Linked DNA regions of Caenorhabditis elegans. The gene in region 1 interacts genetically with each later gene. Each region holds a gene or a part of one and is shown in the gene's direction. Other genes may lie near its edges.

Region 1 (3,754 bases):
GCTCGTCACTGAGGCTGGGTAATACAGGAAGTTTGGTTCATTGTACAGTTGGGTTTACATTTAAAAGAATATATCACAGAAAATCAAAGAACGTGTAATTTATCTTATCATCCCGGAAATTTCTTCCAACTGACCCTTGGCTTTTGTGTATCTCTTATTACAATCAAAAAACCTCGTCTCCTCCCGGTGGAACCCAGAAAATGCTGCTGGATGCTCCAAGCGCTCCCACATGCCTTCAAACTCCTAGGCGCCTGGAGATAGTGTTGCAATCAAGGAGAGCGCGAGACGAAGAATCAGTTGTTACTTTTGTCTGGGTCTCTAGGGGTTTCGTGATATTCCCGTGTTGTCTTACAGCATCCGCGAATTGTTTTCGTCAGGATGAAGTATGAGATTGTGGGATTTGGAGAGAAGCTGATTTGCTGGAGAAGCACAAAAATCTGAAGAAAATGTTTGAAGAAGATAAAGCAAACGGAAAGACTATCCAGTTACATACATACTATCATGAGAATGATTTATGAGCCTTTTCGTAAATTTTTAGACAGATACTATTATCAGGAGACCTTTTAAAGCAAACGCGACAACTTCATAGTAGTTACCAAGGCTCGAAAAATTGATTGGTGCAACTTGAAGTTCGAATGAGTAGAATTGATAAGTATTACAGGTGCCTCCAAATCGATTGTCCGCCACAATGATATACCTCGAATCCATCTGATCAAAATTATTACTGTAGCATTGAATCGCAGTACCGTAATCAAATATTAAATATTTTTGCCCCCCTCTCCTCTACGTATCAATAAAAATAGTCTTAAAACTTACTTCGACTCCAAAGTAGGTTAGTATCAATTTTGCAGACTTTATTTGTAATGCATTTCTAACAAGGAAATTTTTACATTTTACCCTCAAACTTCAAAATGAGACATGTTTCATCTGAAGTGTTTTAGATTATGTCACGAAAGGTATGTCACTGCAAAATTTTAAGCAGCAATACTTTTCTCTCAACCCCTAAAATATCGATCTGAAATTGTCTCATTTAACCACTACTTTAGAGACCTGCATAATTGCTCTAAATGCTTTTTTGCAAACTTTGAAAGTTTTTCAGGAAGTGTAGGTAAACACTCCGGGAGGTTTTTAAAGAATTGTGATTTTTTTGGAGAATTGGTCTAAAAATTTTTTTGATTTTTTTTTTGAAAGAATTGTTATAACAATTTTCTTGATTTTTTTGCAAAAAAAATTAAAGGAAAACTGCACTGAAACAATTTCAGATCAACAATTTTAGGGTTGATATTAGAGCTTTGCCGCTTAGAATACTGCAGTGAGTATTTTCGGTTTTCACTGGTCTCTGTAAAAAGAGTAATGCAAAGGCAAGTTAACTAGGTCGTAAATGTATTGATTTGCTTAAAATCTGAAGATCTAGTGGTGAACCGTGGAAGATTATCAAGAGGAGGCTGAAGATCTGTTTAAGAACCATTAATCAAACTGGTATTCTATTTTCACTGGTTGTATGTAAACATTCTATCTTATTCCTTTTATCACTGTTCTGCACTTTCCTATAAAAAAAGTTGACCGACCGTACTCTCTGAATTCATTTTTCCCGATCTTACCAACTCCCGATCTATCTCTATCCCTGGTTTTTTCTTCGTGCTCCAATGGAATTCTTGAGACTTCCACTATCTTCTCTGGCACCCTCCACTACGCGTAGGCGTCTCTCGCTTCGTGTATTCCCGGGAAGCCGGGTTCCCGTCTCTCCCGCCGCTGCCGCTGCCGCACACAGCTTTACACCTCGTAGAATCCCCAAAGAGGGGCGTGGCTTGCGGGTGCCAACATCCTCCTGCCGAGGAAGAAGCAGGCACTCATCACTCGCATCATCAACCTCGACTAAGGGAGCACCACATTAGTTTTGAGGTAGAGAAACCATTTGAAAGAAGCGAGAAATCATGGAGCACGAGAAGGACCCAGGATGGCAATATCTCCGCCGTACCAGAGAGCAGGTTTTGGAGGTGAGTATTTATTTTTTATTTATTTATTTTTCTTTCATTTGTCTTTATTGTTATGCTCATTTCTATAGAGTAAATCGTATAGTACTCCATAAGTATCTAATTTTAACAAAACTGAGCATTTATTTTTGAAATTCTAGATTTTTAACATACAACTGAGTTAAAGTCTGCCATTTTACACTTATAGATTTTTTAAATTCAGGTAGAAGATTTGAGCTTGCCTTGTAATCCTTGTAATCAATGTTTATTTCTGTTTTCTAATTTTTCATAGATTTAGCTTCAAGATCATCTTTCCCTTGAAATCATTGAAATCTTCCTTTCTTAAATTTTTGCATTGCACTTGGAATTTTGTGACACATTGTGCTGCAGTAGTACTGTATTTTGAGACGGCACATTTATTTTGACTACACCACAAGCTTAACCTTGATTTTACTTTTTGATTCCATTCCATTCATGGGTCTAAAGTGTGAAGCGGTTTAGACCATTTTTCAACACAAGTTGGTATTCTTTAGAAGTGATATATTTCTGAATTCTGATCTCTTTTGTACCATTATTGTAATTTCAGGATCAATCTAAGCCTTATGACTCCAAGAAGAACGTCTGGATCCCAGATCCAGAAGAGGGATACCTTGCCGGAGAAATCACCGCCACCAAGGGAGACCAGGTCACCATCGTCACCGCTCGCGGAAATGAGGTTCGTTTTTAAGCTAATGATTACGGTTTTCAATGTAGTGTGATTCAGGTCACCCTCAAGAAGGAGTTGGTTCAAGAAATGAATCCACCAAAGTTCGAGAAGACCGAAGACATGTCCAACTTGTCTTTCCTCAACGACGCCTCTGTCCTCCATAACTTGCGTTCCCGTTACGCTGCTATGCTCATCTACGTAAGTTTCATTGAAACTTAAAGTTAAGCATTGAGAATCATTCATATTCTTCTTCTAAATTCCCATAAAATCCCGAAACTCCTTCCCTCTATCTTCTTTTCTTCTCGTTTTCAAATGTTTCTCTCTATCCCATTCTCTCATCAATTGAGTGGGATGAGGCTATCTCTGCCTCTCTTCTGAATCTCTGAACCATCTTACATTACACTGTGGATGACGGGAGCCCCACAGGCTCCCTTGCATCAGATACTGCCATTGGGGATGGCAAAGAAGAGAGAAGGTATTGTGAGGATATATTTTTCTAAGAAAAAACGTTTGAAGAAAAGAAGATGAAGAAGATCTGCTTGATTCATTGCACAAGTTAGAAGTAACAGGGGTCTATATTTCGAAGAACTTAAAGGGAATGCAACTGAACATAAAATTAAACAAAGGGATTGAATCCTGCAGTATTTAAAAATCGAAACTAGAATGTTTCCTATTTCAGACCTACTCCGGACTTTTCTGCGTTGTCATCAACCCATACAAGCGTCTCCCAATCTACACCGACTCTTGCGCCCGTATGTTCATGGGAAAGAGAAAGACAGAAATGCCACCACATTTGTTCGCTGTCTCTGACGAAGCCTACCGTAACATGCTCCAAGACCACGAGAACCAGTCTATGCTCATTACCGGAGAATCTGGAGCCGGAAAGACTGAGAACACCAAGAAGGTTATTTGCTACTTCGCCGCTGTCGGTGCCTCCCAACAGGAAGGTGGAGCTGAAGTTGATCCAAATAAGAAGAAGGTCACCCTTGAGGACCAAATCGTCCAGACCAATCCAGTACTTGAAGCCTTCGGTAACGCCAAGACTGTCCGTAACAACAACTCATCCCGTTTCGGA
Region 2 (3,754 bases), on another chromosome or scaffold:
TATCTGTTGGATGTCATGTGTCTCCATCAAGTTAATTTCATCCGCACTTCGAATATGAACATCCGTGAATTTGGTTCTGAATTCAATTTTGGCTCCAGCCTTGACAGTTGTTGTCAACTTTCCCAGTGTGATCAATTCTTTCAATGTCTTGTCTTTCTCGTATGCCATGGATACACATGAATCGATCCAGCGTTGATCGTGACGAGCAAATTCGAAACGAGGTGGACGAGACATGATTCCGTTGCGAACGTTGAAGCTGGTTCCATACACATTTCTGGAAGGATGAAGAGTTGAAATAGAAAATATTCAGAAAAGCTTCAAGACCTACTTTTTGGAAGCAAAATCTGGAATATCTTCTACTGATACGGCATGCTCTTCTTCGGTGATGTACTGCATATACTTCTTAAGTGAAGACATGTCGAAAGCATCCTTATTTTTGCATTTCGCATCAGAAGCTTGAGTTTCTGCAGAGGAAGAACTAACAGCTCCAACACTAATACCACTGTCCACATCCTCTAACTCGCTGCGATCGATGATATCAGGTTCAACTGAAGAGTCCAAGTCTTCGAAGAGTCCTTCAATTCGAGAATTCATCTGATCTCCTGCCAATGCTTTTCCAAGAAGAGCATCAAGAAGTGATTCCTCCACTTCGGCTGGAAAATATTTTGTTACAGAAAAAGAGCAAAAAACTATAAAACTGCTCACCTTGACCATCGTGAAGCTCGACAATTACTTCATTTTCGGAAGGGATGTCCACTTCTTCAGAGGATAATTCGTCATCTTCAAGTTCATCCACATTTTCAAGCTCATCATCGTCTTCAAACTCATCGTCGTTTTCAAATTCATCCTCGTTTTCATTTTCTTCGATTTCACTCAAAAAGCCGCTAAAATCTTCTTCATTTTCGGAATCCTAAAATTCTTGAATTATACTTTATTCTTGTTAATCCAGAAACTCACCGAATAAGAATCATTCTCTTCAAAAAGCGCAGCCATTGTTCCAAAAATAACTGAGACAGAATATTCGATTTCGAAGGATTGTCGAGGGAGCAGGATTTGGGACAAATTCCAGATAATTGTCTCAAAGTTGTGCTACCGTACTTTAAAGGTACATTGCTATTTTACATTAACAGGTTCCCGAATGGAATGCCATTTTTAATTTCTTGGGATCTCTATTGGTGATTATACAACTTTCGCAAATTCATTTTATTTAGAAAAGTTACTCTCGGCTTATATTTGACATTTACTTCAAATAAGAATATTATCTCTTTTTCCTCTTTCCCTTCCATTGAGACCCGAAGAACTCGGGGGATGTCCAACTGGGGGGATTACCAACTCGGGGGATTGGCCCCGCCCACAGAACCGTGGCTTGCAATACGCCCATTTCTGCAACTGCCGCACGGTTTTAAAATTATTTTTTCTTGTTAATTCTCGCTCTATTGAGAAAAATACAGTTTTAAAACCGTGCGGCAGTTGCAGAAATGGGCGTAATGCAAGCCACGGTTCTGTGGGCGGGGCCAATCCCCCGAGTTGGTAATCCCCCCAGTTGGACATCCCCCGAGTTCTTCGGGTCTCCTTCCATTGCTGTTTGTCTGCATTTGTGCGTAAAATGAGATGGCTGCACACATTTTCGAATTTTATTTTCTTTCCCTAAATTTCTATTTTTCATTCTATTTTCACGCTGACGCTTTCGTAAAATAATGGATATGGAAGTCGATGAGGCAATATCTGGTACTTCTTCTTCAAGACTTGCACCAATCGAAGAAGTGAGCTAATTTTTGAAAAACCTAGTATTTTAAATCGAATTTTTCAGGTAAAACCAACTCCAAAGCAAATTAAACGCATTGCGGCTCACAGTCACGTCAAGGGACTCGGAATTGACACAGAAACACAAGAAGCTCACTATGAGGTTTCTTTTTCAATTGTCCAATTTCAATAACTACTTATGAAATAAAGCCTATGCTAAATAAAATATTATTTCTACAGGCTGCTGGATTCGTTGGCCAAGCACCCGCCAGAACAGCTGCATCAATTGTAGTTGATATGATTCGATTGAAGTGTATGGCCGGACGAGCTGTATTGATTGCTGGACCACCCGCCACTGGAAAAACTGCAATCGCGCTTGCAATGTCACAGGAGTTGGGTGACGGCGTTCCATTTGTGCCACTTGTTGCAAGCGAGGTCTTTTCCAATGAAGTAAAGAAAACGGAAGTGCTCATGAGAAGTTTCAGAAGAGCTATTGGTCTGCGTGTTAAGGAAACCAAAGATGTGTACGAGGGAGAAGTTACAGAGTTGAGCCCCGTCGAAGCTTCAGATAATTCCGGAATGGGAAAAACCATCTCTCATCTTGTCCTTTCTTTGAAAACAGCAAAAGGAAGCAAGCAACTGAAATTGGATCCAAGCATCTATGACTCGATTTTGAAGCAACGAGTAGAAGTTGGTGATGTCATCTATATTGAAGCGAACTCAGGAATCGTTAAACGAGTTGGACGGTGTGATGTATATGCATCTGAGTTTGACCTCGAGGCTGACGAGTTTGTGCCAATGCCGAAAGGAGATGTTAGAAAGTCTAAAGATATTGTTCAAAACGTGTCTTTGCATGATCTGGATATCGCAAATGCCCGTCCACAAGGACGTCAAGGAGATGTTAGTAACATTGTTTCACAGCTGATGACTCCAAAGAAAACTGAAGTTACTGGTGAGTGATTGATAAACATTAAAACTCGAACCTTTCAATTTTTATTCTGTCTTTTAGATCGTCTTCGTTCTGAAATCAACAAAGTAGTCAACGAATACATTGAAAGTGGAGTGGCTGAACTAATGCCTGGTGTTCTTTTCATCGACGAGGTTCATATGCTTGACGTAGAATGTTTTACCTATCTCTATCGCGCGCTCGAGTCCCCAATGGCACCCGTCGTGGTTTTTGCAACTAACCGTGGAACCACAACAGTTCGTGGACTCGGCGATAAGGCACCACATGGAATTCCTCCAGAAATGCTCGATCGGCTGATGATTATTCCAACGATGAAGTATAACGAAGAAGACATCCGGAAGATTCTCGTTCATCGTACCGAAGCTGAAAATGTTCAATTCGAAGAAAAAGCATTTGATCTTCTAAGTAAAGTTGGAGCTGAAAAATCATTGAGATATGCGTTACAATTGATTGCTCCAGCTCGTCTTTGTGCTCAAACGTGTGGAAGAGAGGTCATTGAAGTAAGTTGCAGAATGTTGTAGTTCATGTATTAAATAAATCGCTATTCAGGTAGAGGACGTGGACCGTTGTACCAAATTGTTCATGGATCGTGGGGAGTCGTTGAAAAAGGCCGAAGAAGAGATGCGACAACCTAAAAATAAGAAGTGATATCCATTCATATCCGCACAACGACTCGGTTTTCCAATTTTGATTTTTCGCCAATTCATTTCTTGTTTTTTAAAATTATTTTTCTTCTTCTACAACTTATCTCATTCCTCTCGATCTTTCCTCAGTTGTTTCCCCACATGTTGAGGATCTTGTTATTTCGTTCCGATAGATCCCCCATTTTGCCCAATTTGTTGTTCGATTCCTATTTTTATACTGTTCCTAAAAAGAAAAAAAACGGTTTCAAGAATTGTTCGTAATGTTCACCAAAGCGGAAGGAGTGCATAGTGCACAGAATCGACAAAGAGGGACCCCGGCAATTCGTAATACGTCTTCTCCACGTCCCTGACGCCGCGGCATTTCCCTTCTTTTTCTCCCGTTTCTCTATCGATTCTGACA
Region 3 (3,754 bases), on another chromosome or scaffold:
TAATGGCTTGAATGCCATCTCCGTCTGTTTCAACAGATATGAATCTATTCTTTCACAAATCCACTGCGTCATTCAGGACTTCATTTATCTTCCTATTGATTCTTCAATTCACTCCGATTAAGTTTTACTATTTGATGAAAGTTCAACTTCATCGTCATTTGAATTATGTGCTCTCTTTATTTCTGGTATTATTGTTTCTGATTTATGTATTCTCAAGAACAGACTTACATTTAAACAGTGTCTAATGTTGTTTTGTGTGAATTGCAATGAGAGTTTATAATTTTTGTGACTAATTTTCATTTTGACCTTTGAAGAAATAAACGATTTTTTTGTTGTTGGGTTATTTTTATGTGTATAGTAAAATTGAAATGATTTGCTTCTTAATATTTTTGATACCGTATATTCTCTATTAGTTCGGCACCCCCAATTGCTCAACTTTGACAGCTTATATCTCGGATTTAAGCCAAAAATTTCAACTAAGAACATCTTTGTTAAATCTTTTTCTTTTTCTATGTTTTTCATTTTTCGATATCTTCAAAAGCGTGCGAGTTACATATACGCTATTAAAATAGAGCGGTTGAGGTGCCGCACTAATAGAGAATATGTGGGATATAGAGCTCTTTTCGAATGTACAGCGTATCTGTTAAATTTCTGTGATAGTTTTTGAAAATTAGTTTCTGAAAATGAAAACTTATAAGTAGGTTACGATAGAATCATGGAATCGACTGCTACAGCACTTTCCGAAAGTTTGAATTCAGGATATGCAGGATTTCTACCAAAACGTTCCACCGCCTCGGATTTAATTCTCTAAAATCGTATTTCCTAGCCAGAAAAAAGACTTGCCACGTGTAAGCGAGAAGACAAGGCAAAGGCTTGATAGCAATCTTCGCTTCTAAGCATATGCTTTGAAAACCCCGCATACAGCCTCATCGTCGCCCTCATTTCTCTTCCAAATGGCTAACATTGTACCTATTCATAAATCTTTAGAGTATTCACTGGTTGATGTACCACTTCTTTGTAAGAATGATGATCCGAATGATGAGATTGTGATCTATAGCAAATATTCGAATTCAAGAAGATTTATTGATTGGGCTCTTGTTATCACTGTGGCAATTACAGCATGCTATTCCTTATTCACATTGAGCAAATTTTATCTTTGAATTATTGGGAAAAAAGGTTTTGATTGATTTCTTTTGGCATTTTAATTAATTTCTTCAGAAATGATCCCGGCAATCGAACTTGAACATTCTGGTAAAAAAAGAGCATCTAAGTATTCAATTGCGCTTTTTTTCTATATTTATCTTTTTTATAATTGGTTTTATACATAAGATTTTATAAGTTCTGATTTTTTTAATTGATAAAATAAATACATTTATTTATGCTCGATTGATCAAATTTGAAAACATTTTACAAGGCTCATAAAGATTAAATTAATTTTCTTTAATATCCAGTCACTTTCAAAAACTTGACCGACCAAAATAACTTTAAATGCTTAATTTATAAATTTTTTTAAAATTAATTTATCCAACTCCAGATCACGTTGCTATATAATTAGAGAGTGAGACGCAGAAAGTGCGAGTTGACGCACTTCTCGTGCCCCTTGATTGACGCTTTTTCTGTGGTTGGCGCGTTTCGTGCGCGCGATTTTCGAATTTTAGGTTCACTTTTTCCGAATTTCAGCAAATTTTCAGCTTTATATTTCAATTTCAGACATCAAAATGGCGACATTGGACGGAATTAATGTGAAAGATATTGTAAAGGTATTTTGTTGCTCATATATTCAATTTTTGTGTTCAATTTAGCATATTTTCTAATAAAATCTAGGTTCAATTGCATTACAGTATATTTTCCAGGTTGAACGCACCTCCGTACATTCACATATTACTGGTCTAGGTCTTAATGATCGTTTAGAAGCTGAATATGTGTCTGGAGGAATGGTCGGCCAGGTTGCCGCTAGACAAGCTGCAGGACTTATTGTCAAAATGATTCAGGTAATGTTTTCTGCACAAAAATTCAAAACTAAAATTGCTACTATATTTTTTAGGAGGGAAAAATTGCCGGACGTGCTCTTCTTGTGACAGGAGAGCCTGGAGCTGGAAAGACTGCTATCGCCATCGCAATTTCCAAAGAACTTGGTGAGGACACCCCATTTGTCAGTATTGTCGCTTCAGAGGTTAGTCTAATGTTTTTTTTCAGATTAATAAATATCTTTTTTAAATTTCAGATTTATTCAAACGAAATCAACAAAACAGAGGCACTTACTCAAGCTTTTCGACGTGCTCTGGGAATTCAGATTAAAGAAGAAACTGAAGTTTTGGAAGGAGAAGTGATCTCGTTGGAAGTTGATCGGTCAGCAAATGGAATGGGACCAAAGGTCGGAAAACTCACAATGCGTACAACTGATATGGAAACTATCTACGATCTTGGATCAAAAATGGTTGATGCGTGTCTGAAAGAGAAAGTGATGCCCGGTGATGTTATTCAAGTTGATAAGGCTTCTGGTGAGAATTTTATTTAATCAAAAAACTGAAAAATTATCGTTTTTAGGACGTGTTACTCGACTTGGCCGTTCATTCAACCGTTCCCACGACTATGACGCAATGGGTCCAAAAGTGAAGCTTGTTCAGTGTCCAGATGGAGAAATTCAAAAGAGACGTGAAACTGTTCACACAGTTTGTCTTCACGACATTGACGTCATCAATTCTCGTACCCAAGGATACGTGGCACTCTTCTCAGGAGACACTGGAGAGATCAAAGCAGAAGTGAGAGATCAGATTAATAAGAAGGTTTTGGAGTGGAGAGAAGAGGGAAAAGCAAAGTTTGTACCAGGAGTATTGTTTATTGATGAAGCTCATATGCTTGATATCGAATGCTTTTCGTTCCTCAACAGAGCCATCGAAGGCGAACTCAGTCCCTTGATTATCATGGCCACCAACAGGTTTGCAAATATATTTTTTTTAATATTGAGTTTTTAATTAAATATCTTTAGATTGATCGAAAAAGTGCGTGGAACAGATGTCGAATCTGCTCATGGCATCCCATCTGATTTCCTTGATCGTATGCTCATCATCAACGCGATCCCATATACTAAAGAAGATACAGCAAAGATTTTGTCAATTCGATGTGATGAAGAAGGAGTCAAGTGAGATATATCTTTTAAAAACGCTCCACCGGCAATTGGAAACGCTCTGTCCCCGATCCATGGGTCTTGTTAGGAAAATGGCGACAAAACCGTGAATTCAAACGTTTTTCGATCAGCTTCGCAGATTTCGCCAAAATTTAGGCATTTTTCCGATGTTTTAGTGGTTTTTTGAGCTGAATGAGGTTTTTTTTATTTGACTGAATTTTATTTTATCAGTCTGCATAAAAATCACTAAGAAAAACTGGAAACTTGAAAAAAATGACGAAAAATGCTTTAAAAAATTGGTGAAATCCGAGAAACTTATCAAAAACGTTTCAATTTCCGGTTTTGCCGTCAAATACCTAACGAGACCAATGTTTCGGGGATGGAGCATTTTTATTTGGCCGTGGAGCGCGATTCCACGTTTATTTTGAAACGGGGTTTATTTGTTCGACCCAACAATATTAAAAGTCGATAGTTTTCAAATCAAATTTTCAGATTGCAACCAACTGCCCTTGATCTTCTAGTGAAATTACAAGAAGCCACATCTCTTCGTTACTGTATTCATCTCATTGCTGCTTCTGAAGTTATTCGTATTCGCAGTAAAGCTGAAATTGTCACCACTGATCACAT

What was found.
Region 2: of unc-54 (region 1) and ruvb-1, changing one suppresses a phenotype caused by changing the other (phenotypic suppression), as found in Caenorhabditis elegans (one study listed by BioGRID).
Region 3: of unc-54 (region 1) and ruvb-2, changing one suppresses a phenotype caused by changing the other (phenotypic suppression), as found in Caenorhabditis elegans (one study listed by BioGRID).

What each region holds. Positions count from the first base shown.
Region 1 is NC_003279.8:14,861,631-14,865,384, reverse strand, and holds the start of unc-54 (Myosin-4), read left to right. Parts: upstream 1-1,902; 5' UTR 1,903-1,934; coding exon 1,935-1,997; intron 1,998-2,559; coding exon 2,560-2,688; intron 2,689-2,736; coding exon 2,737-2,877; intron 2,878-3,358; coding exon 3,359-3,754. UniProt on the Caenorhabditis elegans protein: Required for muscle contraction.
Region 2 is NC_003283.11:9,978,640-9,982,393, reverse strand, and holds ruvb-1 (RuvB-like 1), read left to right. Parts: upstream 1-1,591; 5' UTR 1,592-1,697; coding exon 1,698-1,763; intron 1,764-1,810; coding exon 1,811-1,906; intron 1,907-1,983; coding exon 1,984-2,695; intron 2,696-2,752; coding exon 2,753-3,210; intron 3,211-3,259; coding exon 3,260-3,358; 3' UTR 3,359-3,603; downstream 3,604-3,754. Other genes in the region: tofu-1 (Schlafen-like protein 1), read right to left, coding at 1-274, 329-653, 706-910, 958-993. UniProt on the Caenorhabditis elegans protein: Possesses single-stranded DNA-stimulated ATPase and ATP dependent DNA helicase (3' to 5') activity suggesting a role in nuclear processes such as recombination and transcription.
Region 3 is NC_003282.8:6,917,363-6,921,116, reverse strand, and holds the start of ruvb-2 (RuvB-like 2), read left to right. Parts: upstream 1-1,710; 5' UTR 1,711-1,718; coding exon 1,719-1,760; intron 1,761-1,853; coding exon 1,854-1,991; intron 1,992-2,044; coding exon 2,045-2,173; intron 2,174-2,224; coding exon 2,225-2,501; intron 2,502-2,547; coding exon 2,548-2,938; intron 2,939-2,989; coding exon 2,990-3,142; intron 3,143-3,619; coding exon 3,620-3,754. Other genes in the region: T22D1.18 (Transposase), read left to right, coding at 954-1,160. UniProt on the Caenorhabditis elegans protein: Possesses single-stranded DNA-stimulated ATPase and ATP-dependent DNA helicase (5' to 3') activity suggesting a role in nuclear processes such as recombination and transcription.